2 linked regions of the Notamacropus eugenii genome follow. Each later gene encodes a partner of the first gene's protein in a complex. Links are inferred from orthologs where the notes say so. Each region holds a gene or a part of one and is shown in the gene's direction. Other genes may lie near its edges. The genes, in order: POLR1B and TAF1C.

What was found.
Region 2: POLR1B (region 1) and TAF1C share a complex: the UniProt entries of both Homo sapiens proteins name them as parts of the pol I pre-initiation complex. The link is inferred for Notamacropus eugenii from reciprocal best matches to the Homo sapiens genes POLR1B and TAF1C.

Annotation. Positions count from the first base shown.
Region 1 is NC_092872.1:602,811,650-602,827,683, reverse strand, and holds the start of POLR1B (DNA-directed RNA polymerase I subunit RPA2), read left to right. Parts: upstream 1-8,194; 5' UTR 8,195-8,966; coding exon 8,967-9,143; intron 9,144-11,480; coding exon 11,481-11,648; intron 11,649-11,965; coding exon 11,966-12,112; intron 12,113-13,132; coding exon 13,133-13,265; intron 13,266-15,306; coding exon 15,307-15,443; intron 15,444-15,565; coding exon 15,566-15,789; intron 15,790-16,034. UniProt on the Homo sapiens protein: Catalytic core component of RNA polymerase I (Pol I), a DNA-dependent RNA polymerase which synthesizes ribosomal RNA precursors using the four ribonucleoside triphosphates as substrates.
Region 2 is NC_092872.1:697,976,738-697,993,274, reverse strand, and holds TAF1C (TATA box-binding protein-associated factor RNA polymerase I subunit C), read left to right. Parts: upstream 1-7,458; 5' UTR 7,459-7,539; coding exon 7,540-7,746; intron 7,747-8,438; coding exon 8,439-8,535; intron 8,536-8,920; coding exon 8,921-9,018; intron 9,019-9,113; coding exon 9,114-9,203; intron 9,204-9,328; coding exon 9,329-9,402; intron 9,403-9,731; coding exon 9,732-9,970; intron 9,971-10,247; coding exon 10,248-10,364; intron 10,365-10,541; coding exon 10,542-10,659; intron 10,660-10,744; coding exon 10,745-10,816; intron 10,817-10,996; coding exon 10,997-11,132; intron 11,133-11,248; coding exon 11,249-11,392; intron 11,393-11,538; coding exon 11,539-11,713; intron 11,714-11,803; coding exon 11,804-11,941; intron 11,942-12,097; coding exon 12,098-13,164; 3' UTR 13,165-14,194; downstream 14,195-16,537. UniProt on the Homo sapiens protein: Component of the transcription factor SL1/TIF-IB complex, which is involved in the assembly of the PIC (pre-initiation complex) during RNA polymerase I-dependent transcription.

The DNA of each region.
Region 1 (16,034 bases):
TTACATCCTAATGCCTGGGCATTGAGGCAGCAGCAGTCAATCAATAAATACTTATGAAGTGCTTACTAAGTGCCAGATATAATGCTAAGTACTAGTTATACAAAGACAAAAGAAAAAGTCCCAGCCCCCAAGGCCCTTCCATTCTAATGGGGGAAACAAGATACACATGAATGCATAACCTATACAAAAAGAATACCAGGTTGTTTGAGGAAGACAAAAGAGAAGGTGGGATGGGGAAGGAGAATCAGAAAAGGCTTCATGTAGAAGATGATGACTGAGCTGAATCTTGAAGGAAACCAGGAATTCCAAGCAGTGTAACTAAGGAGAAAATGTATTTCAAACATGAGGAAAAGCTGTACAAAGATACAAAGATGAGATCTGTGGTGACACGTATAAGGAGCAGTGAACAGGCTTGTATTGCCAGAAGGGAATGTCTAAGAATACTGGAAAGGTCGGAAGAAGCCAGGTTTCAAAGAGATTTAAATACCAAAGAGGAGTTTGTATTTGAGCCTAGAGGTGATAGGGAGCCATTAAGGTTTCATGAATAAGGGGCTGATATCATCACAGGTGATCATTAGTGGTCATATGAAGGATAGATTAGAATGGGGAGAGGTTGAGGCAGGGAGACCAGTTAGGAGGCTATTGCAATACTTCAGGGGAGAGATGATGAATGGACACCACAAATTAAGATGATGTCCATATAAGTGTAGAGAAGAGGATGTTGTGGAGATAAGACAACTGACTGGATATGTAAGGTATGAGTGAAGAAGTGAGTATGACCTCAGGCTGCAAAGCTAGGTGATTAAAAAAGCTGTCAGTAGCCTCTATAGTAACAGGCAGAGGAATGGGTCTTGGGGGGAAAGTGAAAGATAATGAGTTTGGTTTTGGCCATGTTGAGTTTGAGAAACCAATACAACATATATTTGAAAGTAGACTATCAGGGGAGAGAAGAGAATTTATTAAGCACTTAATATGTGCTAGGAACTGTGCTTTAAGTACTTGATGATGTTGGACTGGAGCCTAGGAGAGAAACTACGGCTATAGATATAGATCTGGGGGTCATCTGCATATAGATGCTAATTTAACATGTAGAAACTGCTGAGGTCACTGACTGAGAGAGTGTAGAGAGGCCCCAATATAGAGGAGTGCCCAATACAGAGTCTTGGAGAACAAGTTCAGTCAGTGGGCACAACATGGATGATGAACCAGCAAAGGAGACTGAGAAATGATTAGATTGGTGAGAGAAGAATAAGGGAGAAAGCGGTGTCATGAAAACCAGAAGAGAAGAAAGTAAGAGGATAAGGTGGCTTACATCAGTGACATCAAACAAATAGAAATTTATCCCTATGGGTTTCATATTGACTGAGAAAACCACAAATTAACATTGTTGTATTGTATTAATTTTGTTAAACATTTCCCGATCACATTTTAAATGAGGTGCAAGTTTGATACCTTTGGTCAATAATCTCCTGCTACCAAAAGATTTAGGAGGAGGAGGAGGATTGAGAAAAGACTTTTATATTTGGTCATTTAAAAAGGTCATTGATAACTATGAATAGAGTAGTTTCACTTAGGTGATGGAATTGAAAGCTAGATTGTAAGGGATTTAGAAAAATGAAAGAAAACTCAACAGTACTGAGGATAGACTGCTTTTTCAAGGAATTTAACTGAAAAAAAGAAGATACAGATGAGAAAAAGGATTTCTGGGATCTGGTGAGGGTTGGGTTTTGGTTTTTTTAAGAATGGAGGAGACAAGAGACAGCAGGAAAGGAAACAATAGATAGGAAGATTAAAGATAGGAGTTGATAATGAGGGAGAAGAAAAATCTATTCATAGTTGATGCATTCTGCTCTTAGTTATATGATTTAATTTGGGTGTACACAGTCTTACAATGATTTTGGGTCACAGGAAATAGCAGATAATCTGAAGACACAAGGATTTTAGTGGAATACATGAGTGAATATGAGTAAACAATATGATTCAGTAACAGTAAGAAAGTTGATACCTTCTTAGCTGAGAGGACTGGGACCAGGAGCAGGACAAGGGCCACAATGCCATTCTGTCCTAGTCAGAGCAACTCTGGAGTATTATATGTTATTCAATTCTAGTTGTCACATTTTAGGAAAAGGATGGCAGCTAACAAGGCTAATGCAGTCTTGGGCTACATTATTATGTGTCATTTCTAGGAATGAGAAGGTGGCTAATGGTCCTGCTCTTCTCTTCCTTGGGCAGACCACATTTGGAATATTTTATTCACTTCCAGGTACCAAAATTTTGGAAAGGCATTGATAAGCTGGAGAGCATCTAGAGGAATATGGCCAGGATCATGAAGTGAAGGGTCTTGAGACAATGCTACTTTTGGGATTGTTTGAAGGAACTTAGGGTAACCTGATGCTTTTCAAATATTTAAAGGGCTATTCTTTTTCTTGTTTGGCTCCAATAGACAAAATTCGAAGCCATAGAAGGAAGTTATAGAGATGACAGTTTAGTGTTACAATTTCCTAACTAGAAAGTCCAAATAAAAAATTCTTGGAGGGAAAAAGACTTCCCAACAAAAAAAATTCCAAAAGTAGAATAGGTTCTAGGACTGCTAGATGGCACAGTGGATACAGCACTGGGCCTGGAATCAGGAAGACTCATCTTTATGAGTTCAAATCTAGCCTCAGACACTTACTATGTGACCCTGGGCAAGTCACTTAAATCCTGTTTGCCTAAGTTTCCTCATCTGCAAAATGAGCTGAAGAAGGAAATGGCAAATCACTCCAGTATCTCTGCGAAGAAAACCCCAAAATGGGGTCACAAAGAGTTGAACACAGCTCAGAAACAACAGAACAGACCAGGCTGATTTAAGAGGCAGCAGGTTCCTCTTCATTGAACGTATTCAAGCAAAGGCTTGATGACTGAACATATATTGAGATTTCTTCAGGTACGAATTGGACCACAAGCTTTCTGGGGCCTTTCATTTTATAGACAAGTAAACAGAACTTAATATGACTTGCCCATTATAAGCACCAATTCAATAATGCTGCCAAACAAAATAGCTGGTACATTATATTGCCTCTGTAACTGATTGGGTTGTTACTTTGAAAACCTTCCCCAGCATTAGACATGAAATGCTTTTTCCTATCAAAATATTTAAATATAGGTCCATATAAGTTAAGTAAGGTGAGTCTAAATTGTGAACTGGATGGCAATACTAAACTGAAATTTGTGAGAGCAGAGAGTATCACAGTATGTATATGATTTCCTCAGCAACAGGAAATGTCAACTAGCCTATAACTAAGTAGATAAGCTATTGGTTACATATAGGTTAAAGGATGTGCCCAAGGTCACACAGGTGGTGGGTATAAGAGAATCAGAGACAATGTCACTGTATACATAAAGGTTGAATGCGACTTCAAAAAATGGCAGCCTGTTGCAATTCTAAAATTAGTGAAATGCCTTAGTAAGACAAATTATTCAAGTATTTGTTTCTAAGGTCACAGAGAAAGAAAGGTTGTAGAAACCTGATTTTTGTTACCACCTGCAAAGTTTAAGTCATCCTTCTACATAGAGGACAATGAAGTTGACTGCTGTCTCACTCAGTTCTTTCTATATGGGACTACAGAACCTCTCTTCCAAAACAGAATCTTTCTGCTGATGAAGATACTGGCATAAGACAATGGCCAGCATCACATAGTGCAGCTTGATTTTTGATGCTCTGAAGTGTCTCATCTACCAAAGCTGAATAATTTTAAGTTCTCCATCAGGGTCACTCCCAAAAAAAGTGGAGTAGTACTCTTCCTGGAGTAGATGAAACCTTGTCTGTGTATGTGACCAAATTCTATGTCAACCCAGGTAGGGATGACTGTTGAGAGCTTTCTCCTTCAGAAAGCTATGACAATTCAGACATGGCCCCAGTGGTTCAGCTATACTCCAGGGTAGGTGTGAATTGGTTTTAGGGCCCTAACCATAACCAATACCCAAATCAGACCCAGGTTCTGCCATAGTCTTAGGAACCACACTAGCTTCTGGGATAGATCAAGACAGTAATACCAAGTATGGTACTGTGCTCTTCAAAAAGAGCTGAGGCCCTCCAAAATCTCAATATAGCTGATGTTTAAGGCTCTTTGTGAGGGTCCGGGTCTGGTCAAATATGGTTGGGGTTTTTTTGAGTTTATTCTCAGGGTAGTATGAACTAGACAGAAGATTCAGAGTTTACAATAACCAATAAGCCTCTTGTTTTATAGGAATTAATCAACTCAGGCAAGGAAAGTGAAAAATACTGTTAAGACCTAAAGGACTGTAGGGTTCTGAAGGCCCAATATGATCACTGGAGTAAAATGTTTTTATCCTTTTTATTTTTGGAACAAAGAAGTTTAGAGCTGGGAGAGACCTTAGAGACTAAAGTGGAATGGGGCAGAAGGGAGAATGCTAGATTTGGAGTCAGAAGATCTGATATTGAGTCTCTACTCCTCCACCAATGACTACCTTGTGATGTTGGGCAGGTCACTTAATCTCTCTTGATCTCAGTTTTATAATATACAAAATAGGGGGAGGAAGTGGACTAGATAATCCTTAAGGTCCTTTCCACATCTGATTCCAGAGGTAACATAGATAACATGATTAATCTAAAATAAAACCATATTTTATGAGGCAACTGAGAGGAAAGAACTGTTATGGCTTTTACTGTAAACTCTACTCTATTCTAGGGACAGTAGAATAGAATGTATATAGCCAGAAAAAACTATGACTCAAAGCAATACAATGTTAACTTTTCCAAGAGAAAAAAGATTTTTTTTTAATAGAAAATAGCTCCATGAGGGCAGGGATTGTTTCATTTTTGTCTTTGTATTCCCTGAAACTAGAACATCTGACACATTGTAGGTGCTTAAGAAATACTGAGTAATAGATGGGCATAAGAGTAAAAAAGTGCTACGTCTATCATTTGAGGGGTTCCCTACTTGCCATAACCTTAAGAACTGGGGGAGAAGGGGGAGTCTGTGTTTTTCCTTTATATTTTGATACTAACTTATTGTGTGATTCTAGGGGAGGTCTCAACTTTTTATGCCTGTTTCTTTTTCTGTGAAAAGAGATCGTAGCCTGATCCATTGATCTGAACTATCCTTGGGATGAAGGATCATGTGTACATATTCAGAGATATCTGATGATGATCATTTATTAGAATGATCTTTAAGCAGTAGTTTCCTTCCATTCGTTTTGTAGAGGTTCACTCCAGAAAATACCAAGGTAGCTCATTATCTGGCAACAGGGTAAATAACTTTTGTCACGGATGCTAAAAGAAGAGAAAAGAAGTCTCTAATGCTTTTTGGTAACACTGAGTGCAATACATTCAAGAGAATGTAGGAACAAGTATGTGGTTTGTGATGCTAGGATTCCTCACAGGAGGAATATTACTTGAATTCAGAATTGGTGAACTGCTTGTTGGAACAGAAGTCAGAATGCTTTAAATTCCTTTACTATCTTTCTAATTGATTTCTTACACATCAGATTACTTAAATTAGCTCCTTGCAGAGAACTGACTAATATGTTGCTTCTAATGCCATCAGTTAGCAACCAGCAATACATTAATGTTAAAAATTAACTTCAAAAGCTAGAGAGATTTAATTCATTAAAAACTAAAATTTCTCATATGTAATCTGTATGCCACACTGGCATTAGTCCTCTTCCAAAAACTCACAAAGCATAAATCATACTGATTCCTATACCACAACTTGAAAGAAAACGGGTGCTAGTGACTGAGAAAGCCTATCTGAAAAATACTTTTTCCTATAAAGGCATCTTAAGGAAGAATATGTATTGAGCTCAGAATAAAACATTTACAGATGTATAATACAATACAGATAAATAACACATTTACAATTACAACCCATAATAATAGTTTGATGAATGATAGCATCCTGTTACTGGGAAGAATATTTTGTCCAAATTAACAAAAGGTGTAGACAATTTTGAATTGAAGTTAAAATATGTAATGAAGTAAAATTTGATCATTAAAATATAAAATTTATCAGTACTACTGCACTGATGGTAAATTCTTTAATCTGAAAAGGCTATAAGCCAAGATGAAAGTGGAGGAAGTGTTGGTGCATGATTTTCTGTTTGCAGATGATTGTGCACTCAATGCAGCCTCTGAAGCTGAGATGCAACAAAGTATGGATCAATTCTCCACTGCCTGTGCTAATTTTGGCCTAATAATTAACACCAAGAAAACACAGGTGTTCCATCAGCCACCACCACATCATTCATACATGGAACCATCAGTTACAACAAATGGAAAAGTTTTGAATGCTGTGGGTAAGTTCACTTACCTTGGTAGTATACTTCTTGGAATGTATACATTGATAAAGAGGTTGAATGCCAGAGCTAGCCCAGTGTTTGGGAGACTCCAAAGGAAAGTGTGGGAGAGAAGAGGTATTAGACTGAATATTAAGCTGAAGGTCTACAGAGCCATTGTGCTGACCTTGTTGTATGTGAAACATGGACAGTCTACCAGCTCCATTCCAGGAAACTGAATAGCATCCATTTGAATTGTTTTAGGAAGATTCTGAAGATAACCTGGCAGGATAAGGTACCAGACCCTGAGGTCCTTATGTGAACTAAAATGCCAAGTATTCACACACTGCTAGAAAGAGCACAACTCCAAAGGGCTGGTCACATTGTTCCAATACAAAATGTACATTTGCCGAAAAGACTGTTTTATGGAGAACTCACACAGGGCAAACATTCACATGGTGGTCAGAAGAAGTAATACAAGGACACTCTTAAGGTGTCTCTCAAGAACTTTAGAATTGATTGTGTGACATGGAAGAGACTGGCGCAGGACCACTCAGCATGGCATGCCCACATCAGAGAAGGCACTGTGCTCTATGAACAAAGCAGAATTGAAGTGGCTCAAAAGAAACACAGAATGAACAAATTTAGAGAATCTCCCCCAAATGTTCACATGAACAATTTGTGCCTGATCTGTGGTAGAGCTTTCCAAGCTCATATTGGTCTGATCAGCCATAATCAGACACACTGAAACTTAAGAGACTCTGGCATAGTGATGTCATTTTGGTCCTCTTCAAGAACAAAGGACCACAACCAAATATATCTGACTAATACCCTATCCAACACATGTTTGTGAAAGGGCTTCCTTACTCTGTACTTCTATGTATCATTGGGTGTTAATTTTAAAGTAACACATTTTTCAACAAATTGCAAAGTATTTTTTTGTCTAATATGCCCCTTGTTCCTTCCTCTCCCAATTAGCTAGAGGTCTTTCTGATTCAGCATATCTAAATCAGTTTTATTGAAAAGCGTTTGAATGATGACTTTTGTCACAATTTTCAGTCAATATATGGCCAGTCATTTGTGTTAGAAAACAAATTCCATATTTAAAACAAAGCATATTTACTATATTTCAATTATTATTGTACCCTTACTCATTTTCTGCCCCCAGAGGTTGACTGCAACAATAAATGGCAGTGGAATTCAAGCCATGTAAGAGAAGTGAAACCAGCCTCATATGTGACTAGACCACTTTGTTGAAACTGTAATCAGGGCCTTTGCAAGACTGCATGCATGTCTATGTTCAATGCATTTCCTGGCAGTTCTCCAAACTTTGTTGCCTACCTAGAAAAAAACACTGCGCAATCAATGTAGAAATAACATTGTATCCACAGAATCAACCTTTGGAAAACAAACCACAATGAAAAGAAATATCTGTAACAGTAATTGGCATACATACAGAATATCAAGAGTTTGTGTAGTTGACATACCAGAGCATGAATGTATGTATATGGATCAGATGGGATTTTCGTGACTACATTATACACAGTTCCCTGATATCTGTATCCAAATCAATTAAATATGAGGGGGGGAAACTATTTTTCCCGAATTCCTAATGGAAGTAGAGGCAGGAGGGAGAAAAATTCTAATGGAAACTATGATGTTATATATATTAAAATTATGCAAAGTTGGAAGGAAGATCAGAGATCAAGTCCTACCTCTCACCCAATGCAGGAAACATCTGCCAGACGGCCATCTGGTTCCTATTGAAACACTTGCAGTGACAGTGTGTTCATTACATCATGAGGTGATCCATTTCATTTGGACCGTTCTCATTCTTAATTGGCCCGTAAATTCTTTTCTGTTTTGCCTAAGCGTGTCTACATTACAATTGTTAAAACGTAAGATGTGTATGTTTTAATTCAGTCTGATTCAGCAAACATTTATTTAGTGCCCAGTATAAGAAAGGTGCTTTAGATACAAAGATGAAAATGACGTCACTACCCTTCATTAAGGAGCTTTTCAAGCAATAGTAGACCCATTTTACAAAGTGAGAAACTGAGTTTTGTAGAGAATGTGGAGCTGCCTGGGACGACACTTCTAGCCTCAGTTCAGGCAAAGCCTGGGAGAACGTGCGCATCGGGGGCCGAGGCGGCGCAGGGCCCGCAGTCCACACGCGTGGGCCACCAGGAGACGGTGGTACAGTCAAGATTCACAAATGGGGGGGAGGGGAACTGCTCTCAAACTAACGATCTCTGAGATACTGATTTACAATACCATACGTTTGTATATTTATTTAAACTAATCTACTTATCTTGCTAAATAGTTCCTAATTACATTTTGTTCTGGTTCCGGCGGATCTCAAGGAATTTTGTGGGCACCCTGGTGCCCAGGGTTTGACAACTCTGTAACCCGCCAGTGAGCCGGGCGGACTTGGAAAAAAATCACCAAAAAAAAAAGGAAAAGGAAAACAGAAAGTACTTCTCACGTGGGCTGCTGGGACTTGTAGTTTTCCGGTTACGGGTCTGGTTTTTTTGGGTTTTTTTGCTGGCGCAGATGTGACGCTTTACTTCATTTACTACATTTACTACATTTCCCAGAATGCCACAGGAGGGAGGGGCGGGAGTTAATGACGAACTGCCTTCTGGGATGTCCAGCAGCTGTGGCTCGTTTCTCCCACGCTGTTAACCGGCATGGATCCCGGTTGTAAGTGGCGGGACCTACCCGGCGGGCCCAGCCTGAAACACTTGACCGAGCCGGGTTACGGGATCCCGAAAGAACAGCAGCTGCCGGCTTTGCAGGAACTCACGCGGGCGCACATCGAGTCCTTCAACTATGCTATGCGAGAGGGGCTCAGCCACGCGGTCCAGGTGAGCGGGCCAGCCGTCCCTCCCAGGGGCTCACTTCCCCTGACTCCTGCCCCATAACTCGCCCCCCGGCTTTCCTCCCCGCACTGTCCTGCCCTCTTTCCGACCTGCCCCGAAGTGTGCCCCTTCCCCTTCAGGCTTCCCACCTTCCTCCTCCTACGCTGGTGTCCCCCCCTCCAGCTTCTATCTCCTACTCTGGTCTCGTGGCCCGACCTTCCCGTCTCTCCTCTGCCCCCATCCCCGTCTCGCGGTATCGGGGGTGGGCCGAGCTCTTGCCCCTTGCCCCGCTCTGTTCCCGCGTGACTGGCTCTGTCCTTGGGGGCGGGGCAGAGGCTGAGGGCTGAGCCCTGGAGACCGGGAGGAATTGGGAGATCCGGGTATATGGGAGGATCTCATTCCCAGCAGGATCTGAAATGTTATTCTCTCCTTCTTCGCAAGAGACTGACTCTCTCTCTCTGTCTCTCTCCCTCCCCCCCTCCGTCCCTCTCCCCCTCTCCCTCCTTCTTCCCTCTTCCCCTCTCCCGTCTCCTCTCTCCCTCTCTCTCTCTCTTCCCTTCCCTCTCTCTCATTTTCGCCCTCATCTTTCCCTCCTGTCTTCTAAACTATCCTCCCACCTTCTGCTACAAGCCTTTCCTAGTCCTCCTTAATCTTAGTACTTTTCCTCTGAGATGATCCCCAGTTTATCTGCATGTTGTTTCTCCAGTATTTATCTTGTTTTTACTTTCTCTCCCCCATTACCCTATGAGCTTCTTGAAGACTGGGATCAAATTTTGGCTTTCTTCTTATCTGCAATACTTAGCATAGTCTCTGTTTCATAGTAAGTTCTGTATAAATACTACTGAATTGACTAAGCCTGGAAATTAATGAGAGCCACTCAAAGGATTGTTTGTCATGCTTGTTACCTTTGACAATTTATTAAGCGGTATTTTGAGCAAGGGAATAGTTGCTGGTTGAGAGTGTTCCCTCCCATTTATTCAGCAGTATTTATTATGTGTTTATTGTCTACCTTCTTCCCATGGAACGTAAATTCCTTTAGGGCCAGGATTATTTTGATTTTTGTCTTTATATCAACATCCTGTGTATGTAATGTGGCACCTAATAAGTGTTTGTTTGATTCATCTTGCTAAGTTCTAGGGTAGAGCTTCTTAAACTTTTTCCACTTCACACCCTTCAGCAGTGTGAGTGGGGGACATGATATGAGATATTCCCACGAGTATGTACAAAGCTTAAGAAGACATAGTCTTGCCCCATGGAGTTTACTAGATAAGAGGATAAGACAAAAATACATAATAGAAGCCAATATTTAAGTTTTCCCAAGTACATCATATCCCAGTTTCTCCTTTGAGCCATATGGTGAAATGGTAAGAAGGGCACTTAGAGGTTTAATTATTCTGATTTTGTTTATTTCTTAAAGTTAGGTTCAGAGGAACTGAGTGAGAGACCTGTGGTCTCACAGCTCAGAAGCATTAGAGACAGAATTTGAACCTAGCTCTCCTGTATTTTTCCCATTTTACCACACAAGGTACAAGACAGAGCAGTGACCTCAAAGAAGAGGGGTAGAGCAGAAGGCACATGACCAGGCTTTGAGAAGTGTGTGAAGGGGAGCAGCAAGTATAGACTAACTCATCCAAAAAGTTTAGCATTGAAAATGGGGAAGGAAATAGTAAAACAGTGTTAGTAGGGTCAGGGGAAGGCATCTTTTGATATGGAGGCATGCTTATAAAGTAAGGAAAGAATTAAAGGAAGAGTAAATTCAAAATCTTCAAGAAAAGATGATGGTATGAAAGGCCCAGTAGAAGACAGGATCAAATGCACAGGTGGATGGGTTAGCCTTGAGAAAGCAGGGTGACTTCAGTTCTTTCTTTGAAAGAAGAAAAAAGAAGCTGGATGAAAATACAAAAGGCTTGAAATATGAAAGAGTGAAGCAGAGGGAGTTCAGGTATTCAGGGAAGATTTTCTGTCACTCTGCCCCATAAAGTCACTTAAAGGAGATTCTGGCTTCATTCTCCTTTTCATGTATAAACCTGATCTCCTGTAACCATCTTTTACTTCTGTAGGCTCAGGGATACAAATAATGTTTTTCATATTTATGAAGTCATTAATGAGACCCTTCTATTGAGGGAACATAGAGTGATTGCAATCCAGTGATTGCCCTATTCTTCCTTGAATAGCTTTAATTTTTATAAAGTTCTTAATTATATCAAGTCTAAATGAGCTTATCTCCTTTATGAGAATAAATAAGAAGTTATCAGTGCACTTAGAACAGACGTGATTAGAATGTCCTTTGAGTGAAAGTTCTCAGAAAATGCAAAATAAAGAAAAAGGGGTGTTGTGTTTCAGGCCATTCCACCTTTGGAATTTGCTTTCAAAGATGAACGTATCACTCTTGCTATTGTGGATGCTGTCGTTGCTCCTCCCATGGTCCCTAAAGGGAGCATCTGCAAAGATTTGAAAATCTACCCAGCAGAATGTCGTGGTCGGAGAAGTACATATCGGGGAAAGCTGACAGTAAGTAAATAACGGTGACTAAATGAATAACAAATGAATAATCGATATGATCGATTGTATATCTAGTGTATCTAATAAAAATATCACACTTAACTGGGCTGCTTAACTTCATTAGTAGCTTATGTTTTGTAAGTCTAAAGCACTAAATATCATATAGAAATTAGAACTGTTTCTCTCCGGTTCCTCCTCTCATATTAGAATTAAGTGTTGTGCTAACTGTTTAAAATGAGCCTTTCAATTACTTTTGTAGTTTCAGTTGTCTGGACACAGTTTTTTATCTTGGCTAATGTATTTTTTTTCCTTCTGTTTTCCATTAGGCTGATATCAGCTGGTCTGTGAATGGGGTCCCCAAGGGAATTATTAAACAATCCCTTGGCCATATTCCTATTATGGTGAAGTCTAAGCTGTGCAACTTACATAATCTTCCTCCAAAAGCTCTTATTAAGCACCATGAGGAGGCAGAGGTAAAATGAAATCAGTAACTTGGGTTAAATAAAGAAATATTTAATTCATTCAAAATCTTACTTAAAAGTTTGTTTTCACCCAATTTTCCATCTAATTTATTAATCTTTTCTTTTTTAAAATGACTTTATTATTTTTTTACATCCCCACCTCCCCCTCTCAGAGAGCTATCCCATGTAACATAGAATTTTTTAAAGACAAAAGAAGAGGAAAAAAATCATAGCTGATAAGTACGTCAAAAAAGTTTGAAATTATGTGCAAGATTTATAGACCTTACCACCTCTGTAAAGAGGTGGGTTGGGAATATCCTCTTACATCCCTTCTTTCAAGTCATACTTGCTCTTTATGATTTTGCCACATTCACTTTTGATGTACGTATTTATGTTGTGTTCTTCCTGACTACCACATTGTCATAGTCACCTTGTATGTTGTTTTCTTGGCTCTGTTTACTTCACCCTGCATCAGTTCATGTAGATCTTGCCACACTTCTCTCTATTTAGCATATTCAGCATTTCTTATAGCACAGCAAATCCCATTATATTCATGTACCAAAATTTGTTTAGCCATTCCCCAATTAATGGTCATCTCGTTAGTTTCTGATTCTTTATTACAAAAAATACTGGTGTAGATATTTTGTTATATTTGAGGAGTTTCTTCTTATTGACTTTCTTCAGGTACAAGCCCAGTAATGGAAGTCTCTCAGTGAAAGGATAATGAGTATTTTATCGCTTTATTTGCATAATTCTGGGTTGCTTTCCACAATGTTTATGTTTATTTATAGCTCCACCAACAATTAATTAGTGTGCCTGTCTTTTCACAATACTTCCCACGTTGACTATTGCCATCTTTTGTCATTTTTGCTGCTTTGCAGGGTGTGAGTTGAAAATCTCAGTTGTTTTAATGTACATTTCTCTTATTAGTGACGTGGAGTATCTTTGATTTTATATAGGTGCTTTTGTATGTAGATATGCATGTGTATATGTAGCCTTGTGGTATTAACATCACTCTGATTTCTTTGACAGGAGATGGGAGGCTATTTTATAATAAATGGTATTGAAAAAATTATCAGAATGCTAATTATGCCTCGGAGAAATTTTCCCATTGCAATGATAAGACCAAAATGGAAAACCAGAGGCCCTGGTTATACCCATTACGGTGAGTAGTGAATCATAACAATTAATACTGGGATGGTAGCTTAGGAAAAGATAAATTTTAAGTTAAATATTAAAATGATTAAATGAAATGAAGAGAAGTTTTATTTAAATTGGTTCTTTTTTCTTCTGTATGATTCCATTTTATTAAATATTTCATTGTTGAAAGCTGGAAGGGACATTAGTATTCATTAATTCCAACTTTTGACCTAGTTCTGTTAATAATACACCATTCTTAACAGATCATCAACAAGCCTCTGCTTGAACATTTCACAGACATACACATCATGTTCATTTTTGTATAATACTAGTTGATTTTGGCTCAATATAAGAAAAAACTTTCTCACTTCCCAAAATTTCCTCTGGATGTAGAGATCTGTATATTTGCAGATACATATAGATCTGTGTATATATGTACACACACACACACACACACACACACACACATACATATATGGGGAGAGAAAGAGAGATAGGCAGACAGAAAAAGAGCCTCTCTGATTGGTTCAACTCTTTTATGAGAGTTCCAAGACCTTCCCTTTAAAGGGTGATGGGACTAGGCCAGTCTTTTCTCTCTTTAGTCCAAAGGTCCTTTTACTAACCCACATTGCCTGCTATTTAATGTAGTAATTTCATCTGCAATACCCCTTATAGAAGTAGGTTAACTATCTAATTTGTTTTCCATTGTGAATTTTATGCCATATTGGTTTATTGTAAAATGAAACATCTTCTGTTTTCAGCCTCCTTACTATAATGGAATTCACTTGTGTTCTCTTGGTTTTTTGTATTAAAATACAAAGTCAACTCTTTGTATAAAAGAACATAATCACTACATTTTAAATGTGGTTCTCCCCTTCAAAGTAAAATTTCTTCTATATGAATTATTGGTTCACATGAACTATCCAGAGCTAGAAGGTATGTCAGACACCATCTTGTGCAACCGCCCTCATTTTACAGGGAAGGAAACTGAAGGCTGGAAGTTTGTGACTTGTCCAAGGTTCCACAGGTAGTAAACATCAGAGAGAGGATTTTACTGCAGGTCCCCAGACTCCTTGACCAATGCTGATTTAAACTGTGCTATAATAACTTTTCATTCCCATCTAGACTGGGAGAGAGCCCAGGTTTTCATACAGTAAGCTATGGCGCTTTGGCAGATGATCTCTAAGGTTTCTTCCAGCTCTATGATTCTCTTATTTTCTGTGTTCTGTCTTTCTCTTGCTAATATATTTTAATATTTTGTCCTTTTTTAAAATTATTTGTCATATTCCCCATAAGCATATACCAACCCTACATAAGCACATACAGATAGTTCTTGTTTTATGTAAGTAGACCATTTCACAGACCTCTGCATAAAGTGATTTTTACATAATGTGAATGTTGGGAGGAAAAGGGTCAGGGGGTCAGTCAGCGCATTGTTCAAGGACACATGGGGACTAGGGACAGAGAAGTAAGAGTAAGAACAGGAACACATGGGGATCTGGGCCAACTATACTGAAGGCTGACACTTGGAAGTCAAGATATGGACACAGACAGGAGAGTAAGGCAACACTGGGGGGCCAGGGACAGATGGAAGACAGTGGGTGGGTGGATTGAGGTAAAGGTCTCTCTTGACACTGGAGGTTTCAAGCCACACTTCCAATTGAGGTGGCAGTGGGCAGGTGTATCTGCATCTATTCTCTCTCATTTGGAGGGGTTATTTTTAGGGTTGTCTTGTTTTTGTTTGTTTAGGTTTGGGGGTGGGAGGGAGTAGAAGGGTGGGAGCCAAGGGGCAGAAGCTATGTGAGCATAGGAAAGTTAACATAAGTGGGTTTTTTGGAATGTGGATTTCTTTCGGAATTCTATATGTAAAGTTGAATTTGTCAAATGTGAATTTACTTAAAATGAGAACTGTATTGGCAATCAAACTGATTAGTATCTTTATGAAACAAATTACTTGAACTTAAACTGCTTAAACCTCTGGGTATAGATCTACCCTTTTTGAGTTATCATCAAGTATAGTTGCTAGAGGCACCAAGTTTCTAATTTTGTAATGCTTATTTTGACAGGAATTTCAATGCACTGTGTTAGGGATGAGCACACTGCTATCAACATGAACCTTCACTACCTGGAAAATGGCTCAGTGATGGTGAATTTTATTTATCATAAGGAATTATTTTTTCTTCCTCTGGGATTTATACTCAAGGTATGAGTATTTTTCTTATGAGATTCATCAGAAGATTCCAAAGCTTCAATCAGATTCTGCAAAGTGAATTATAGATTTGATTAAGTAGATCACTAATGTTAAACTTATTTTTTCTGTTCTAGGCATTAGTTGGTTTTTCTGATTACCAGATTTTTCAGGAGCTGATCAAAGGAAGAGAGGAGAACTCATTTTTTAGGAACTGTGTTTCTCAGATGTTAAGAATTGTAATGGAAGAGGGTTGTCTCACACAAAAACAGGTCCTTAACTATTTGGGAGAACGTTTCAGAGTAAAGCTCAGCCTTCCTGATTGGTACCCAAATGAACAAGTTGCAGAATTTCTGTTAAAGTATGTATTTTCTTGCAAAATGTTCTTACTTTTTTGTAGGTTTGGGATTCAAGGTGGGGGTTTTTATGATAATATATTTGAAATGTAGTTGATGGTATAGTAGTTAGCCCCCCAGCCTCAGAGCTAGAAAATTTTGGCTTTGGATCTTCCCTCTGACTCCTACTGGCTGTGTCACCCTGGGCAACTCACTACACCTCTCAGAAGCTCAGGCAATCCTCTGCTGACCTGCACTGGTAGGGGGTGTT
Region 2 (16,537 bases), about 95 Mb from region 1:
CCCTATTTGGTAACAAAAACCCTCGTTGAAGAGCAACAATCCTTTCCATGTTCTTTGTCTCTGGGGTAGATTCCCGCGCTTAGATTGTAAGCCTGAATTCCCAGTCAATGGGAAGAGAGGCTAGTGGGCTTCCCTGTTAGGGACTATAAAAAGCTGTACTCCAGGTGTACTCAGGTGCACTCCCTTGCTGATATCACCCATAGTCTTGTGGAAAGTGCCACTTCTCAAGGGATTGTAATAAATTGTAATAAATTCCTTTTTGCCTTCTACCTTGAGAAGCTTCTGAGTTTAATTTGAGTAAGGGTTGCTGTATCCCACACATAGGGAAGGCACTCATGGTGGAAAAGTCAGAGAAGGTCCAAGGTCATGCAGCCAGGTGAGAAAGGAGGAGATGTTCCCAGCTGAGCTTCCTCATTAAACAGAGGTCTTGGACTTCATGGTTCCATCCTCCGATGAGAGCCTCACCCAATCCTCAGAACAAACTTCTGTGAGGTATTATTTGTTGCCTTATTAATACCTCTGAGGCATTAATAATCCTATCCTACTATTATTCCTATTTTACTATTGAGGAAACTGAGCCAGACAGAGGTTAAATGACGTACCCAGGGTCACACAGCTAGGAAATGCCTAAGGCTAGATTTGAACTCAGGTCTTCCTACCTCTAGGCCCAGCTACTCTATCCAGTGCTCCAGTTAACTGCACAGAGTGCTGGGCTTGGAGTGTGGAAGCCATGGGCTCAAATCCTGATTCTGACACTCTAACTGTGAGACCATAGGTAAGTCACTTAACCTAAGTCTCAGTTTTGTCATCTGTAAAGTGGGGAAATCTTCAATACCTACTTCCATTGTTTATTTAAAATAACTCTAGACAGTATAAAATACCTGGGAGTCCAGGAATTATATGAGCAAGGTTCACTGTTGTCAGTTTCAACAGACATAATATATGTAAAGTGTTTTGAAAACTTTAAGATACCAAATAAAAATAAAAGTTATAATAGCCCCTCCTTCCCAGCGTTGTTGTGAGGATAAAATGAGACTATATTTATTTATAAGGTGTTTGGCAAACCTGAAAGAACTATGTAAATGCTAGCTATTATTACTACTGTTGTTAATTGGAGAATGGCTGAACAAGTTGTGGTATATGAATGTAATGCAATACTACTGTTCTATAAGAAATGATGAGCAGGCAGACTTCAGAAAAATGTGGAAAGACTTATATGAACTGATGCTGAGTGAAGTGAACAGAACCAGGAGAACATTGTACACAGTAACAGTCACACTGTGCAATGATCAATCAGGACTGACTTAACTCTTCTCAGCAATACAGTGATCCAAGACAATCCCAAAGTGTTAAAAAAAAAAAATAACATTGCTTATGCTAACATTAAATATCATTTTTGGACTTTTAATAAGGGTCAAAACCTGAACTAATCAATCAGACTTCTTTGTTTTGCTCTAAAAATGCCCTTTTCTGTGTCAGCAATTTAAAAGACCTGTTTATGACAGGATGCCTACAACTAGAGTGGTAAGATTCTTCTTTATCTTGTTTCACAGAGACATATGCTATACAGAGGAAACTCAGATATCCTGGGATTGTAAATTCCATCTGACACTACTTTTTTAGTTGTCTTATCTCACTGAATTTACAACTTATACAATTAAGAAAATTCCTTTCTCATGGCAAAGTGTATTTAAGCCTGGTCATTCTTGTATCAGACAGTCAGAAGTTTCATGTAACTGCTAGTTTTAAGAGAACAAACAATATGAATTTAACCTGTTTGCCTCTTTTAACCAAATTTCCTGGTCAACACTTATAATCACTATTTTTTAAAAACCTGTGTGTACAGTAACAGCAACATTGTTCAGTGACTAACTGATAGACTTAGCTCTTCTCAGCAGTGCAAGGATCTAAGACAACTCCTAAAGAAACACAATGGAAAATGCTGTCCACATCCAGAGAAAGAACTTTGGAATCTGAATGAAGATGGGAAGCAGACTAGTTACTCTCTCTCTAGTTTCTTCTTTCTCATTGTTCCTCCCATTGGTTCTAATTTTTCTTTACAATATGACTAATGTGAAAATATGTTTAATATGAATGTATATGTAGAGACTTTATCAGATCGCACGTCTTGGGGAGGGAAAGGGAAGAGAAGGAGAGGAAATTTAAAACTCAAAATCTTATGGAAGTGAATGTTGAAAACTTAAAAATACATTAATTAATTAAAAAAAATAAAAACCAAAACCTGTGTGTATATTAGATGCAGGCCCTTGTGATGTGGAAGTTCCTGATACTTAGCTCTCTTCCTGAAAAAACAGAAAGGAAAGCAAAAAAAAAGGGAGGGGGCAGGGGGAGCAGAGGAGTTGCTGCTTTCTAAGGGAGGCATTTCCTGAGAGCTAAAGGGCCCAGAAGCTGGCATCATAGCCACAGAAGGTCAGAGATGGCTGGGACCTTAGCAATATCCAGCCCAACCCCCTTTCATTCTACAGATGAAGAAACCAGAGAGGCTAAGCTATTGGTCCAAGATCATTCAGATCCTAAGTAACAAGCCAGGAATCTCTGAGAAGGTTGCCCTGGGAGGATTTTCAGAAAATTCCTCTTTATCTTTTCTCCCAGATGGATCCTTTCAGGTCACTTAGGTTCTCCATCTTGTTTGTTCCATAGACCCCTTGGGCAGTCTGGCGAAGCCTAGGGATCCTTTCTCAGAACTGTGTTTTAAATTGCATTGAATATGAAAACCATTTTATATTGAAATATTATAATTAACATAATTATATATTGCATCATACATATAAAGGAAACAACTTATATTGAAATAAAGGTAATTTTTTTCTTTACCCATACAAGTTCATGAAACCCTTGAAATCCATCCATGGACCTTTTTAATAATAAATGTGGATTGATTCATGGACTTTGGCGAGGGCTGGGGTGGGGCGTTGGGGGGTGGGAGATAGACACGGCCTCAGGTTAAGAACCCCTGAACTAGTCCAACCCCACCCCGTTTTACAAATGAGGAAACTGATGTCCAGAAACACGAAGTGATTTGTCCAAGGTATCGGTGTGAACAGAGGTGGGAATCGTGACACCTGGTTTCTAATTAGGTAGCATTTATTAAGCACCATCTACTACAGTGCGAGGCATTGCGCTGAACTGGGGATACTAGAAAAGCCCCCAAACTTCCCTACTTTCAAGGAGTTCCCAATCTATCGGACTTTCTCTATCTGGTTGAATGAAGAATGAATGAATGAATGAATGAATGAGTGAATGAGTGAATGAATGAATGAGTGAATGAGTGAGTGAATGAGTGAATGAATGAGTGAATGAGTGAGTGAATGAGTGAATGAGTGAATGAATGAGTGAATGAGTGAATGAGTGAATGAATGAGTGAATGAGTGAGTGAATGAGTGAATGAGTGAATGAGTGAGTGAATGAGTGAATGAATGAATGAATGAGTGAATGAGTGAATGAATGAGTGAGTGAATGAGTGAATGAATGAGTGAATGAGTGAGTGAATGAGTGAATGAATGAATGAATGAGTGAGTGAATGAGTGAATGAATGAGTGAGTGAATGAGTGAATGAATGAGTGAATGAGTGAATGAGTGAGTGAATGAGTGAACGAGTGAATGAATGAATGGAGGGACACTTACAAGCACTCACGGTGCACAAAGCACCCGGTTGAGCGCTGGGGGATCCTAATAGCTCAGAGATCTAAAAAGGGGCGGGGTGTGGCGGCAAGGGCTTGGATTAAATCAATCAGTAAATTGACCGTTCGCTCAGTCACCTTCGGTGTGCCAGGCACTGTGCTAAACCCTGGGGAAATGGCAAAAAATAGTGCCTGCCCAAGGAGCTCCCCATCTAATCGTGACCACACACGACAGTCGCCTCTAACTCCAGCTCGATCGCGATCTTACGCGCGTCGTGACTTTGGACAAGTCTCCTCTCTTGGACCGGCTTTCCAGTGCTTTGTAACAGCAAGGCGAGCAGGGACGCAAGGTGCGGGAACGTTTCGGGGCCAGCTACAAAGCGCCAGAGCACCCTCTCCCCTCGGACAGTCGGGTTATTAAGAAAGTCCCTACCGTCCAGCTCCGCGTTTCTCCTGAGGCCTTGGGATGGCCCCCGCGGGCCACCATCCACGCGGCTGACAAGGGGGCGGGACCAACCCTGCACTGAGGATAATGGCGGCTCCTATTGGGGGAATGAGACTAAGGGGGCCGCCATATTTAGTAAGGCAGCTCTCTCCAGGAGGAGGACTTCCGGGGATCGGGTTTGGGGCTCTGGCTCTGGAGGATCCTGGGAAATCTCTTGGTCCCGCACATGCGCAGTGAGTGAGTCGTCAGTTTCTTTTTGTGTGTGGGCGTTTTTCTTCGTTTCCCACGTGTCTGCCTCGGGGTGGCTGGTGAGCCGGCTCTCGTGGGTACCAGTGGGCCCGTCTCGGCTGTCGGGGGATGGAGGCACCACCGCCGTTCTACACCGAAGGAGATGAAGAGGTCTGAGTAATCGCGGCTCCTTTCTCTGCTGGGTGGGGGGGTCATTAAACCCCCTTTCACAGACTGGGAGAGTGGGGAGGGGCTGAGCCTGGGGTGCAGCCCCGGCCTCCAAGTCTGGTACTGAAACGGTGTTCTCGACCCGCTTCCCAGGACCGGTTGGACTAGGGTTTGAATCCCAGACCCGCGACTGATGAGCCCAGGGACAGCGGGTGAGTCTCCTTCCCCTTGTAGGCTTGACTTTTCTGAAAGATGTAGGAGAAGGTTGTACTGGGCGGCCCTAACGTTCTCCTTCACAACCTGCCCCTTCCCTCCTTTTCCAGGATCCTTGCACTCCTTTTATCATATTCCCCTCCGAGTACTCTGCGATCCAGTGATGCTGGGCTCCTGGTGGTTCCTAGAGTGCAGCACGCCATCTCCCGACTCGGGGCATCTCTCCTGGCTGCCCCCCTCGCTTAAAATTCTCTCCTTCCTCGTCTCTGCCTCCTCCCCTGACCTTCTGCAAAAGCCTTTCCCAGCTTTCCTTAATATTGGTTAATTATCTCCAGTTTCTCCCTCTCCTCCTTCTCCCTCTCTCCCTCTCCCTCCCTCTCTCCCTCTCTCCCTCTTTCTCCCCCCTCTCCAGTTGGCATGGTGTCTCCCCCATTACACTCTGAGGTCCTTGAAAGCAGGGACTTTTACTTTTCTTGGGAGCCCCAGTTCTTAACTCAGTGCCATGTACTTATTCGTACTTGACCTGACTTGATTCCCCATCCCGCCTCTTTCTGCCACGCTGGCTGTCTCAGGTCTCATAACCAGACCTGTTCTGGGTAGAATACAACCCCGGTTCTATTTAATCGCATTCTCCCTAGATATGTCAGGTTTTTATGTCCCCACTTCAGGCATGCTGCAGCCTAATTCATCCCTTTCATTCTACCTCCTGTCTTCAGGTTCCTCAAACTTTGTCATTTAGTCTCACTTCCTGACCTCTCAGTTCCTCACCATCATTGACTTTCACCATTCCACTTCAGCTACACAGGGATTGGGTCAAATATTATCATTCCATGGTTCCCCCAGACTGGATCACTCAACCCCACAAACAACCCTTTACCCCACAAAATAGACTATGTTGTTGTTCAGTCATCCAACTCTTTATTACCCTGTGGACCAAACTGTCCATGGGGTTTTCTTGTCAATTATACTCCAGTGGTTTGCCATTTTCTTCTCTAGTGGATTAAGGCAAATGGGATAAGAGACTTGCAGAAGGGTCACTCAGCTAGTAAGTATCTGAGGTCAAATTTGAACTCAGGTCATACCGACTCCAGGTCCGGTACATTATTCACTGAGTCGTCTCACTGCCCTTAGGAATTCTAGGAATACTATGCTCCAGACATTGGTCATTGAACCCATGGGAATTGAGATCACCAAATAAGAGTGTGTAGAGAGAAAAGAGGGTCAAAGAGAGATCCTTGGGATACAACACAGTGGTTATTTTGCGAGTGATCTTTCAGCAAAGGAGACAGAAGCAATGGTCACAGAAGGAAGAGAACCAGAAAGGGAAAATAGTATTGTGAAAACCCAGAGGAAAGAGTTTCCAGGAGGAGATGGTGGTAAACAGTGCCAGAGTCTGCAGAGAGGTCAAGAAGGATGAAGACTGAGAAAAAGGTGTTAGATTTGGCATTTAAGAAATCACTGATGATTTTGGAGGGTTATTTCAGTGAAATGATGAGGCCTAGAGCTAGAATATAAAGAATTAAAAAGTGAGAGGAGAGGATGCAGAGGCACTGAGGACAGACAATCTAGGGGTTTCATTGAGAAGGGGAGGAGGTAGGAGGATTGCAGGGATGGTAGTTTTTGGTTTTTTTTAAGACCAAGGAAGACTTGGGAGAGTTTGTTAGTAGCAGGGAAGAAGCCAGGAAATAGGCTGCAATTGGAGATTAGAAAGAGTAGGTTGATAGTGGGACCACTAAGCTGGAAATGACAGAGGGAGATGGGATAAGGGTACCTATGGAGGAGTTGGCCTTGACAAGAAGAGCCTCATCTTCATCCCAGACTGGAGAGAAGGAGGGGGATGTTTGTTGAAAGGATGTGAGATGGGGAGGAGGGGAGCTCTCTGAGAATGGCCTCCGTTTTTTCAGCCTCTCAGTTGAAAGGGTTTGGAAAACAGTTGGGAAGCTTGAGAAGAGAAGGTTTGGAACAGCCGCCCAGGAGTGGGATAGAGAATCAGTTAGGAAGGATTTTAAAGGAGTGTCTTGTAGCATTGGGGCAGCTAGGTGGCATAGTGTGCCAGACCTGGAGTCACAAAGACTCTTCTTTCTGAGTTCAAATTTGGCCTCAGACAATTACTAGCTTTGACTTTTGGCAAGTCCTTTAACCCTGCTTGCCTCAGTTTTCTCATCTGTAAAATGAGCTAGAGAAGGGAATGGTGAACCACTCCAGAATACTCCAGTATGTCTGCCAAGAAAACCCCAAATGGGATCACAAAGAGTCAGACTGAATAACAACAACAAAAACTTGTAGCATTTAAGGCCTATCTGAGCTTAACTAGCAGAAAGCTGTAGTGGATGCAGTCTGCAGTTTTGTAAAGACCTCCAGCTTTATTCAGTAGCAGAAGGGGAGAAGGAAGCAGATGGTGGAGGCGATCCAGGATTGGGGTTGATCCCCCAAGAAGATAATGACTTTCCCCTTTGGATCACACATAGGTAATGCTTTGCATCTCTTAATGTACCTGTTCAACATTGTTCGTTTTTGTTACTTTTGTGTCTTATCCTAGACTTGAGTTTCATGAGGGGAGCGATCAGAACTGATTTAAATCATTTCTCCCTCAAAGAATAGCACGGTGGATGCCCTGCCTGTGTTAGGTGCCCAATGGAAATCTGCTGACTGAATAAATTGTGCTCAGAGGGGAAACCAGAACCTTCAGCACGTGAGCCCTGCAGACAGACTCCTGTGACAGAGAGTTTTGCTGAGGACAGACTTGGTTTTGAATCCCTTTTTACTCCCCTGTTGCCCCTTCTCTCAGGCTTGTGGCCCCATGAAAGCTTTTGTGTAGTGTTCCACTGATTAGAGAAAGAAAACATGTCTTTCTCATCTTTGTTTCATAGGAACCGAGACCTGAGAATTGGACACGAGCCCTGCACGCAGATGGATTTCCCTGACAATCTCTTTCCCACGTTCTTTTTGCCTGGCCCCCCTGGCCTGAATGATTCCCCTGGCTTGTATCTGGCCCCTGCTTGGAGTGACTGTATGCAGCTGCTGAAGCCCCCCCAGACCCAGGATCCATCGGTAGGAGCAGCCCCAGAGCCCTTTCTGGGGAACTGTTGTCTGGACAGTTGGTAGTTGGTACACAAGGTGCTAGTCACTTCTGCTTGGCCACAGGGATGTCTGATGTCCTGGGCACCCCAGAGACTTGAGGAACTTCTCATCCTTAGTTCCATAATAAAAGGAGAATAGTATTACCTGTGCTCTCTAGAACCTCATCAAGATCATAGATTTGGACCTGGGAGGGACCTCTGAGGTTGTCTTTATTTTACAAGTAAAGAATCACAGACATCAAGTGGCCTACTAAGTGTCAAAGCTGGGTTTTGAAAGCGGGTCCTCCGACTCCAGATCCATCGCTAGTTCACACCTTCCCTAGAGGGACAGGAAATGTTTAGATGTAAAGGATTTGATCTAGTTCAGCATTAATAATTTACAAGAACTGAATGGGTCCTCCACCCTTTAATCTAGAAGTATAAGGGATCTGAGAGGCCACAGAGTCCAAATCCCTCATTTTACAGATGAGGAAACTGAGACCCAGAGAAGAAAGATGACTTTCCTCAGATCACTCAGGTAGTAAGTGTCAAAGAGGGTATTGGAATCCAGGTGCTCTGACTTCAAAACTGATGATCTTTCCACCCTACCACCCTCTCCCACAAAATGGAGATTAACCTTGATACTACAAGTGTGGTCTACTGGAGTCTTTCCTTGTCCCCCAGGTTAACCCCCCCCAGCATGAGACATCGTATGTGACAAAGTGGGGAAGATGGAAGTCTGACACTCCTGGACCTCTGCCCTTCCTGCGCCCTGGTCCTGGTGAGGGGTCCTCTTTTTCTGTTCCTACCCCAACCCTACTTGCTGCTTTCTGACAACCCACCAAGTCCTTCCTCCCACCCTATTTTATTGGGGTACAGCCCCTGGATCCCAGCCTAAAGCTCCTTCTACGGAAGTTTCATTTAGCAGCAGCTGTTTGAACCACAGGCTCTCATCTCAAAGCCCAGTGTTGTCAGATATACATGTTTCCTACCATGGACAAGGAAATTAGAATGCTCCTACCAGATTCCTGGGATTGCCTCTTAGACTTTTATCTACCTTCTTAGGACTTCCTCCTCAATGTATTCTCAGACTTCCCTCCCAGCTCAGCTCCCTTTGCCAAGAACCTTGGGCCCCTTCTCCCTAATCTCCCTAATTTTCCCTTCAGACCTCTGGAACCCTGAGCTGACCCCCCGAGATTTGCTCTTCCAGGGGAGACTGAGGCGTCCATTTGGGGCCAAAGCGACAGTAGATGTTATGGAGCAGGTAAGTGGGCATTGGGTCTTTTGAGGGTTACTCTGGGCTCTGATCTTGGCCCTTGCCACATGTGGTCACTGTCCTTTTCTTTGTCCCCCTCTCAGCTCAACCAGTTCTTGTGGGATCATGGGGACATTGCCTTTGGGCCCCTAGGAAAGCTGCTGCAGGAGGACTTTAACCTGGGAAAAGCAAAGGTAAATTTGACGATTGGACAACTGGTAAAAGTGACCCCTGGCTGGCTGCAGTTGACCCCTAGTGACACAGGGAAGTGATGGGCAAACTGGCCAGAGGCAAGAAGTAACTGAAGCTTTCTCTCCAGAAATCCCGCAAGGACAGGACGGTGATGAATGCAGAACGGTTGCTCCAGGACCTCAGTGGACACCAGCCCAAGGGGCAAGTGACCCAAGGAGAAGAAGGGGGCGTACTGTTAGTCAAAACTGTGGGGTTCTAGGATTGGGAAGAAAGGAGAGTCAAGAGGTGGGATCAGCTGTCTACCAACTTTCTTCTCTGGTCACCCTCCTATGCTAACTTAGTGGGTACAATGGTAGCCCTGGGTTTGAGTCCCAGCTCTAAGCCTTAGTTTCCATATTGTAAAATGGGGATGATAATCCTTACACAACCTACTTTGAAAGGTTGCTGTAAGAACAGTTGCTTTATGATTTGTTCAGTGTCCTGGAAAGGGTGATCTGGTATTATTTTTAATGGGATCTTTCATCTCCCAGGTGCCCCTGGGCCCACTTGAGCACCCGTCAGCGACGATTCTCCCTCCTGGGGGGCACAGTGCTGGCTGAGGAAGTGGAAGGTCTGCTTGGGGGTTTGCTGCATGAGGAGCTGGAGACCCGCTGGAAGGGGCTACTGCTGGATGAAACTTCTACAGGCGGGGCTCTCGCTTGGGTCCCAGGGGCTAAACCCCATGTTGGGCAGCTGGTCTACCCTACTGGGCAAGCCTACAACCAGCTGAGTATCCTTCTGTGGGAAGGAGGAAGGAGACTGGCTTATCCTCTCTGACCAGGGACTTATTCCCTGATAGGGGGAAGGAGAAGGGTACAGGAGGCCTGGGAGGGATCAGTTGTAGAGCTAATGAGCCTGCAGTGAGCTGGTCACATGTAGAATGCTTGGTGTGTGATCCAAGTGCCTGGGCTGGATTTCAGACTCTAAGTGGCTTAGAGTAAATGGTTTCAAAGTTCCCTTCTAGACCTTGATCCTAAATTTGAAGACTGCCTTAACTGGCCTCTCAGACTTCCAGAAGGTAAAACTGTTCAGCACCCGCAAACCCCAGGCTGTTGGGGACCCAACCCAAATCTTGCTCCAGGGACCAGTCCGGCAGGTGGTGACCCGCACAGTCCAGGGGGAAGGTGAGACCCGTAAACATCTGGTTCAGTGGCCCCATTTTCCATTCCCCCCCCACCCCAGCCTGGACTGATTGTCAGGGATGCTTCCTGATTTAGCTCCTGAGTCCCCTTTCTCCCCCTGCCCCATCCCAGCCAGCAGAGTGTGTGACTATTTTCAGCTAACTCCTACTCTTTCCTCAGCTCTGCTGGCTGTCCGCTCTGATCATCACTGTGCTGTGTGGCAGGTCAGTCGTCAAGGGCATCCTGAGCCCCTGCAGGTGCTGGGTACAGAGAAGGGAGCCACAGGAATCAGCCTCAGGTGAGGTGGGCACTTGGGATATAGACTGCAGAAAGGAATGGAAAAGGGGATGCCTATGCTAACCTCACTCCCTCTATACCTGCAGCCCTCATCTTCCTGGAGAGCTGGCAGTCTGCACTCGCTCAGGAGCTGTGTGTCTGTGGAGCCCCCAGAATGGGTAATGTTCACCCCTAGGCCTCCCAGTCTAGTCTTTCCCCCTGTCCCCTACTCTAAAGACTATCTATCCCAGGCGTGGCTGCCAGCATCCTCAGTCAGACACACCCCAGTAAACCTAGGCATCTTAAATATACCTCTCCTGTTAGCCACCAAGAGTGAGGCACATTCTCTTCTCCCCAAGGCTGAAGCAAATATACAAAGACCCTGAAACCCTTGTCTTCAAGGACTCTTCTTCGTGGCGCTGGGCAGACTTCACTGCTCACCCCCGTATGCTGACTGTCGCTGACCGCACTGGAGTCAGACTCACAGATGTTCGGGTATGGGGCAAGGATTATAATTTTCACTGACCACGTAGGGTATCAGGGGTATCCAGATGGGTGAGCAGGCTCTGGGGCACAGGGAGGTGACCTCTTGTCCCTGTGTCTGACTTCAGGGTCCCTCAGGCTGTGGTGAGTTCCTTTTTCGTGTAGGGGCTGAAGCCTCATGTCAGCGAGGGGAGCGTATCTTATTGGCTCAGTACTTGGGGACATCCAGTCCGGTCTCCCTGAGTCCCACCCTTCATCTCATCTGTACACAGGTAAGTGAGATTCCCCCTATGGAGACACCTTCCTCTAATCCCAGTGTCCCTTCTCTCAGATCTGACTCCCTCATTCCCCAAAGTCCCCAGGATATGTCCATGCAGAGTGGGTGCTGCCCACCTGACTTGAGTCACCATACCCTCAGTTCTCTCTCTACCTGCTGGACGAGCGTTTACCTCTTGTGCCAATGCTGAAGTGGAACCATGCACTTATGTCACCTCCACTGCTGGCTGAGCTCCTGCCCCCACCCTGTCCTGGGGCACCTTTTCCCTTGCTGCTCGGAGGACTTGGGGGCCATCTTCGGATGTTGCATCTCTCAGGTGAGGCCTGGGGCTGAGACCAGCAGGACCCAGTGACGGTGCTTGGATTGGTGTCTCTGGTCAACTCCCCATGCTCCTCTTTTTCCTCAGGAGGGTCCAGTCACACCCCTCAGCTAGCAGCACCACCACAGTCACTCCCTTCACTTAGTGACTCACTCCCTGGCTTTCCAGTCCTTGAGCCACATGGTCAGCAGCTGCTGCAGGACCGTCTTAAGGCCCCTCTTATGGGTATGTTGAGGGACATACTGATGGAGATGGGAGGGCAAGAGGGAACGGGGAATGGGGATAAAGACATCCCCCACATGGGATGTTTCATGGTTAGCAATCTGTTGTCCAAGTTCAGCAGCTCAGGATTTGGGATCCTCTTCACCGATCTTTCCCCAGGCTTGGCTGCTGTTGTACCTCCAAGTTGTCCCAGTCCCACCATGCTGCTGTTCCAGCTCTCAGCTGCTGGAGATGTTTTTTATCAGCACCTCTGGCTCCAGCCAGACACCAATTCCAAAAGTGCTGACTCTCTCCAAAATAGTAAGTCTTGCACTGACCATACTGATGATCCAGGCCTCCATTCTCATGACCAGTCTTCTGCTACCTCATCCTTGGACACAGCTCCTGACTCTGGTGCTGTTTCCTGGAATCCTCAGGCTGTTGCTTGCTGCCGCCGTTGGTTGAAAACCCTACTACAAGTTCCCCCAGCCCTCCCTCCTTGGACACCCCCTACTTTCTCCCAACACCCTCTCCGATGGTTGAGGGAGGAAGTGAAAGGGAAGGTCCGAGAGGGCCTACAGGCTGCCATGAATGAAGGCCGGCTGCTGCAACAAAGGGACCTGGGCCCCCTCCCTCCCTCAGATCCTCCCCCTGCTCATGAGCCCTTTGGTCCTGAGAACAAATTGACTGAACGTTTGGAAGCATTCTGGGAGGGGAAGGGAGCCATTTGGTGGGACAGCCAGCAAGGCAGTACCCAGGTGCCAAGAAAGCGGCCATCACGGGAGAAGAGGCGGACCCAGCTTTCCAGCTCTTTCTCCTCTATCAGAGCCACCTCTGACTTCTCTGACATGGATAGTCACCATGGGACTCCTAGCCCTCTCCACAGGATGTCTGAAGCTTCTCAGTCTCAGGAGCTGTCTCAGGAGCCATGGGCTCGGAATGTACCCCGTGAGCGTCGGCAAACACTTCGAGACTACCTTGCAGTCCTCCCTTCTCCAGAATCAGAAAACTGCTCTTCCCCCCGATCCCAGAATCGAAGCAGCCAGACCCTGCCCACCTCAGAGCCAATGAGCCACTCAGTACCACGCTCCCAGGATCCAAGGACCCAGACCCCTCTTCGCCCTCACCAAAGGAACTCCTCTGCCCTCTGCTCTCAGAATTCAGGCATCCGGAGCTTGCCCTCCCGTCACACTCCTTCGCTTGCAGGCTCACAACCCCTCAAGAAAAAACCCCGTATGGGCTTCTAAGGACTTTTGTGGATTGTAGGATCCTCAGAAATCCTGGCCTTCATGGGATTGTAGCTTTAGACTAGAAGGAATCTAGTCCAGCCTCCTCATTTTATAGATGAGAAATCTGAAGCCCAGAAAGAGTTGTATAAGTGTTAAAGACCATTACTCAATTCTGCTTCCTTTATTACCGTACAGAGTTGAAAGCTTACTGTGTCTGGCTCCACCATTGAATAGATGGATCAGTCCTGGTGTTCAGGAATAGCTTCCAACTCACTTTGTCTGGAAAAGTCCAAATCTCACCCATTTGCTTTAATACTAATCACTCTGTAAGTTCATGAAAGATCACTGGAAGATCCTCTACCCTCTCTTTATGCCCTGGTTCTGACACTTTCTCACTGATTACTGAAAGCTGGGTCAGTTAATTAGACCATTCGGCCTTGAGTTTTTCTTTTTCATAGTACCAGAGCCAAATGGGAAGAGTTTCCCAGGGGACACACAGACCCTCTGTAGTTGGCACCATAGTGCCCATGAGACAGTACATGAAGGCTCCTTGGGCAAAGTCTCAGTTTCACCAGAGACAATAGATATATTTGAGGGACTTTGAAAACTCAGTCTGAGGAGTGTGAATGAGAAGCCATGTCGTAGCCATTGTCTAATGTTTCTCCATTAGCATTGACTCAATTTTCAGACTCTGAGCCTTTAAAATTTTACATTTCCTATGTTTAGCTAACTCCCTTATTCAGAATGACCTGGTAATCCCTTCACTATGACCTTCAAGGTAATGAGTCCATATGGAGACTCAAAACTCCCCACATTCCAGCTTTCAGATTTGGGCAGCTAACACAAGCTCATCCATCTCCTATGTCTGGCCTGACCATCTGGACTCTTGGACATCACCATGAGCTGATAACGGAGGAAAAAGGCAAGATATGCAGGGCACTGTTACTTAAAATGTATGAGAAAATGTAGAGAAAAAAGAAGTCTTAGTTATATGAAAATATTATGCCTTAAAGAAGCCAAAGGAATATAAATTAAAAACTAAATTGTGTATTTGTTGTCATGTGGAATGATTTTGCAAGGAACTGATAGATGGAGATTAAGACACTTCTCTGGAAGAAAAGTATAAGCTGATACAGAGGCCTTATAATAACCTAGTTATTTTTCAGTGTTTTCTACATAAAATAGTACTGAAAAAATATTTGCTGATTAATGCCAGGGCTGGTGGCAAGACTATTTTTTTTTTTATAAATGATCTGATGAAAGAAGCTCCCAGGTAACTTAACAAAATACATAAAATAATTGGTATATAAATACAACTTCATGACACTATATGGCTAAGGACAAATGAAAAGTTCATCATTGGGCCATCCCAATATTTAAAAAATGCTACTTAGATTACAGATTTAGTGCAATTCTGTTAAACTCAGAAAGGCTCATCTTTGATGTAATACAACACCCAGCCTTGGGCAGATTGTGCAGTTAGTCAACAAGTTGGGGACTCTTTCTTATTTCCTTATTATTCTTTTTTCTTCCAATGTTGTGATCAATAACCTATTGTAGTGTATGGCATAAAGCATGGCTATACACTAATTTCTTGCCATATTGCTATTCAATTTTCTTGACTTTTTATTGAATAATGATACTTCTCCCTTTACAAGTTTTATTTCTTTAAGAAGATTGAATGGCTGTTATTAGTTAGGCTATGGAAAGAAAAATTTGAGACAGAATGTTGAGCATTCGAAATCAGTAGCTACTGAATCAATCAACAAACACTTATTAAATACCCCAAATGTGCCCAACACAATGCTAGACACTGGGGGACACAAAAACAAAGTGAAAAAGTGCCTGCTCTCAAGGAGCTTAAATTGTTGGGGAAGAGACTGATAACCAATCAATATCATTATTATTATTTAGCTTTCATAAAGGTATATTTACTGAGATGTATTAAGAAGTTGAAAAACATTTCCCTCCAGCAATTAGGGTCATACTGTCTCCTCTATCACCTCCATCCTTTAGGCAAGTAGGTTTGGCAGAGCACTTGCTACAGTGGAGATAAGAGCACTTACTTCCCAGGATTGGTGTGAGGATCAAATGACATAGCATATTGTGCACCTTAAACCATTAAATAAATGTTCTTGTTGTTCAGTTGTGTCTGGAGTATTCGTGGCAAAGACACTGGAGTGGTTTGTCATTTCTTTCTCCAAAGTATCCCCAGTTTCCAGATGAGGAACTGAGGAAAGCACAGGTTAAGTGACTTGTCCAGTCACACTGCCAGCAAGTATCTGAGGCTGGATCTGAACTCAGATCTACTACAATAAATGCTAGTTAATATTGTTAAGCTCATTTCTGAACAAAGCGTGAGTGCATCAGCAGAGTACAAGTTGGGAATATCCAGAACTGGTCCATTGTTCAGGGGAAGAAACATGACCTAAATGTTTTGACATGCTCAAAGACAAAGCAAGATGATGGTAATCAGCTGTTATTTTCCTGCCTGCACTGAATCTCGTTTGCTACTTCTCAGTTTACACACAGAGCATCTCAAATTCTTTCTGTAGTTTTCCACATGGGTTTGGTATTTCACTGGCTAGAATGTTTTCTACCAGCTTTGAGATTTCCACGGGGCCTCTCCCTACCAAAACATTTATTTCAATTTATGTTCTTGAAGTTGCATCTATGTGTTGCTGGGTTACACTTGTAGGTTTTATCAGCTCCTTTGGCTTTTTATACCCTATTTTCCAGTATTCTTCCTCTGGAATTCCCTCCTCCCATTACTTTTCCTCTTGGAGGAGTGGGCAGTTACTCATTCATGTGGCCTTGATTAGGTTAGTTTGATTTTAGCTCTTAGGCTTTCTCTCCTTCTGCCACTCTGGGATCTCACGTTCATTCCTCTTTCCCCTCTCCACAACAGGGGAACAACAACAACACAAAAAACCCAGATAAGCAAAACCAAACAGCCCAGCATACAGGCAAACATTCCAAGCCAAGAGTCCCCAACTTGTTGACTAACTGCACAATCTGCCCAAGGCTGGGTGTTGTATTACATCAAAGATGAGCCTTTCTGAGTTTAACAGAATTGCACTAAATCTGTAATCTAAGTAGCATTTTTTAAATATTGGGATGGCCCAATGATGAACTTTTCATTTGTCCTTAGCCATATAGTGTCATGAAGTTGTATTTATATACCAATTATTTTATGTATTTTGTTAAGTTACCTGGGAGCTTCTTTCATCAGATCATTTATAAAAAAAAAAATTGTTGTACAATTAGCAAGGTGATTAGGAAGGGACTTGGAGGAGCTGAGCTGTGCTTTGAAGGAAACTTGGAATTTTACTAGACTAGGAGACAGTAGAGAACCATTGAAAATTTTTTGAGTAAGACAGCGAGATGGTCA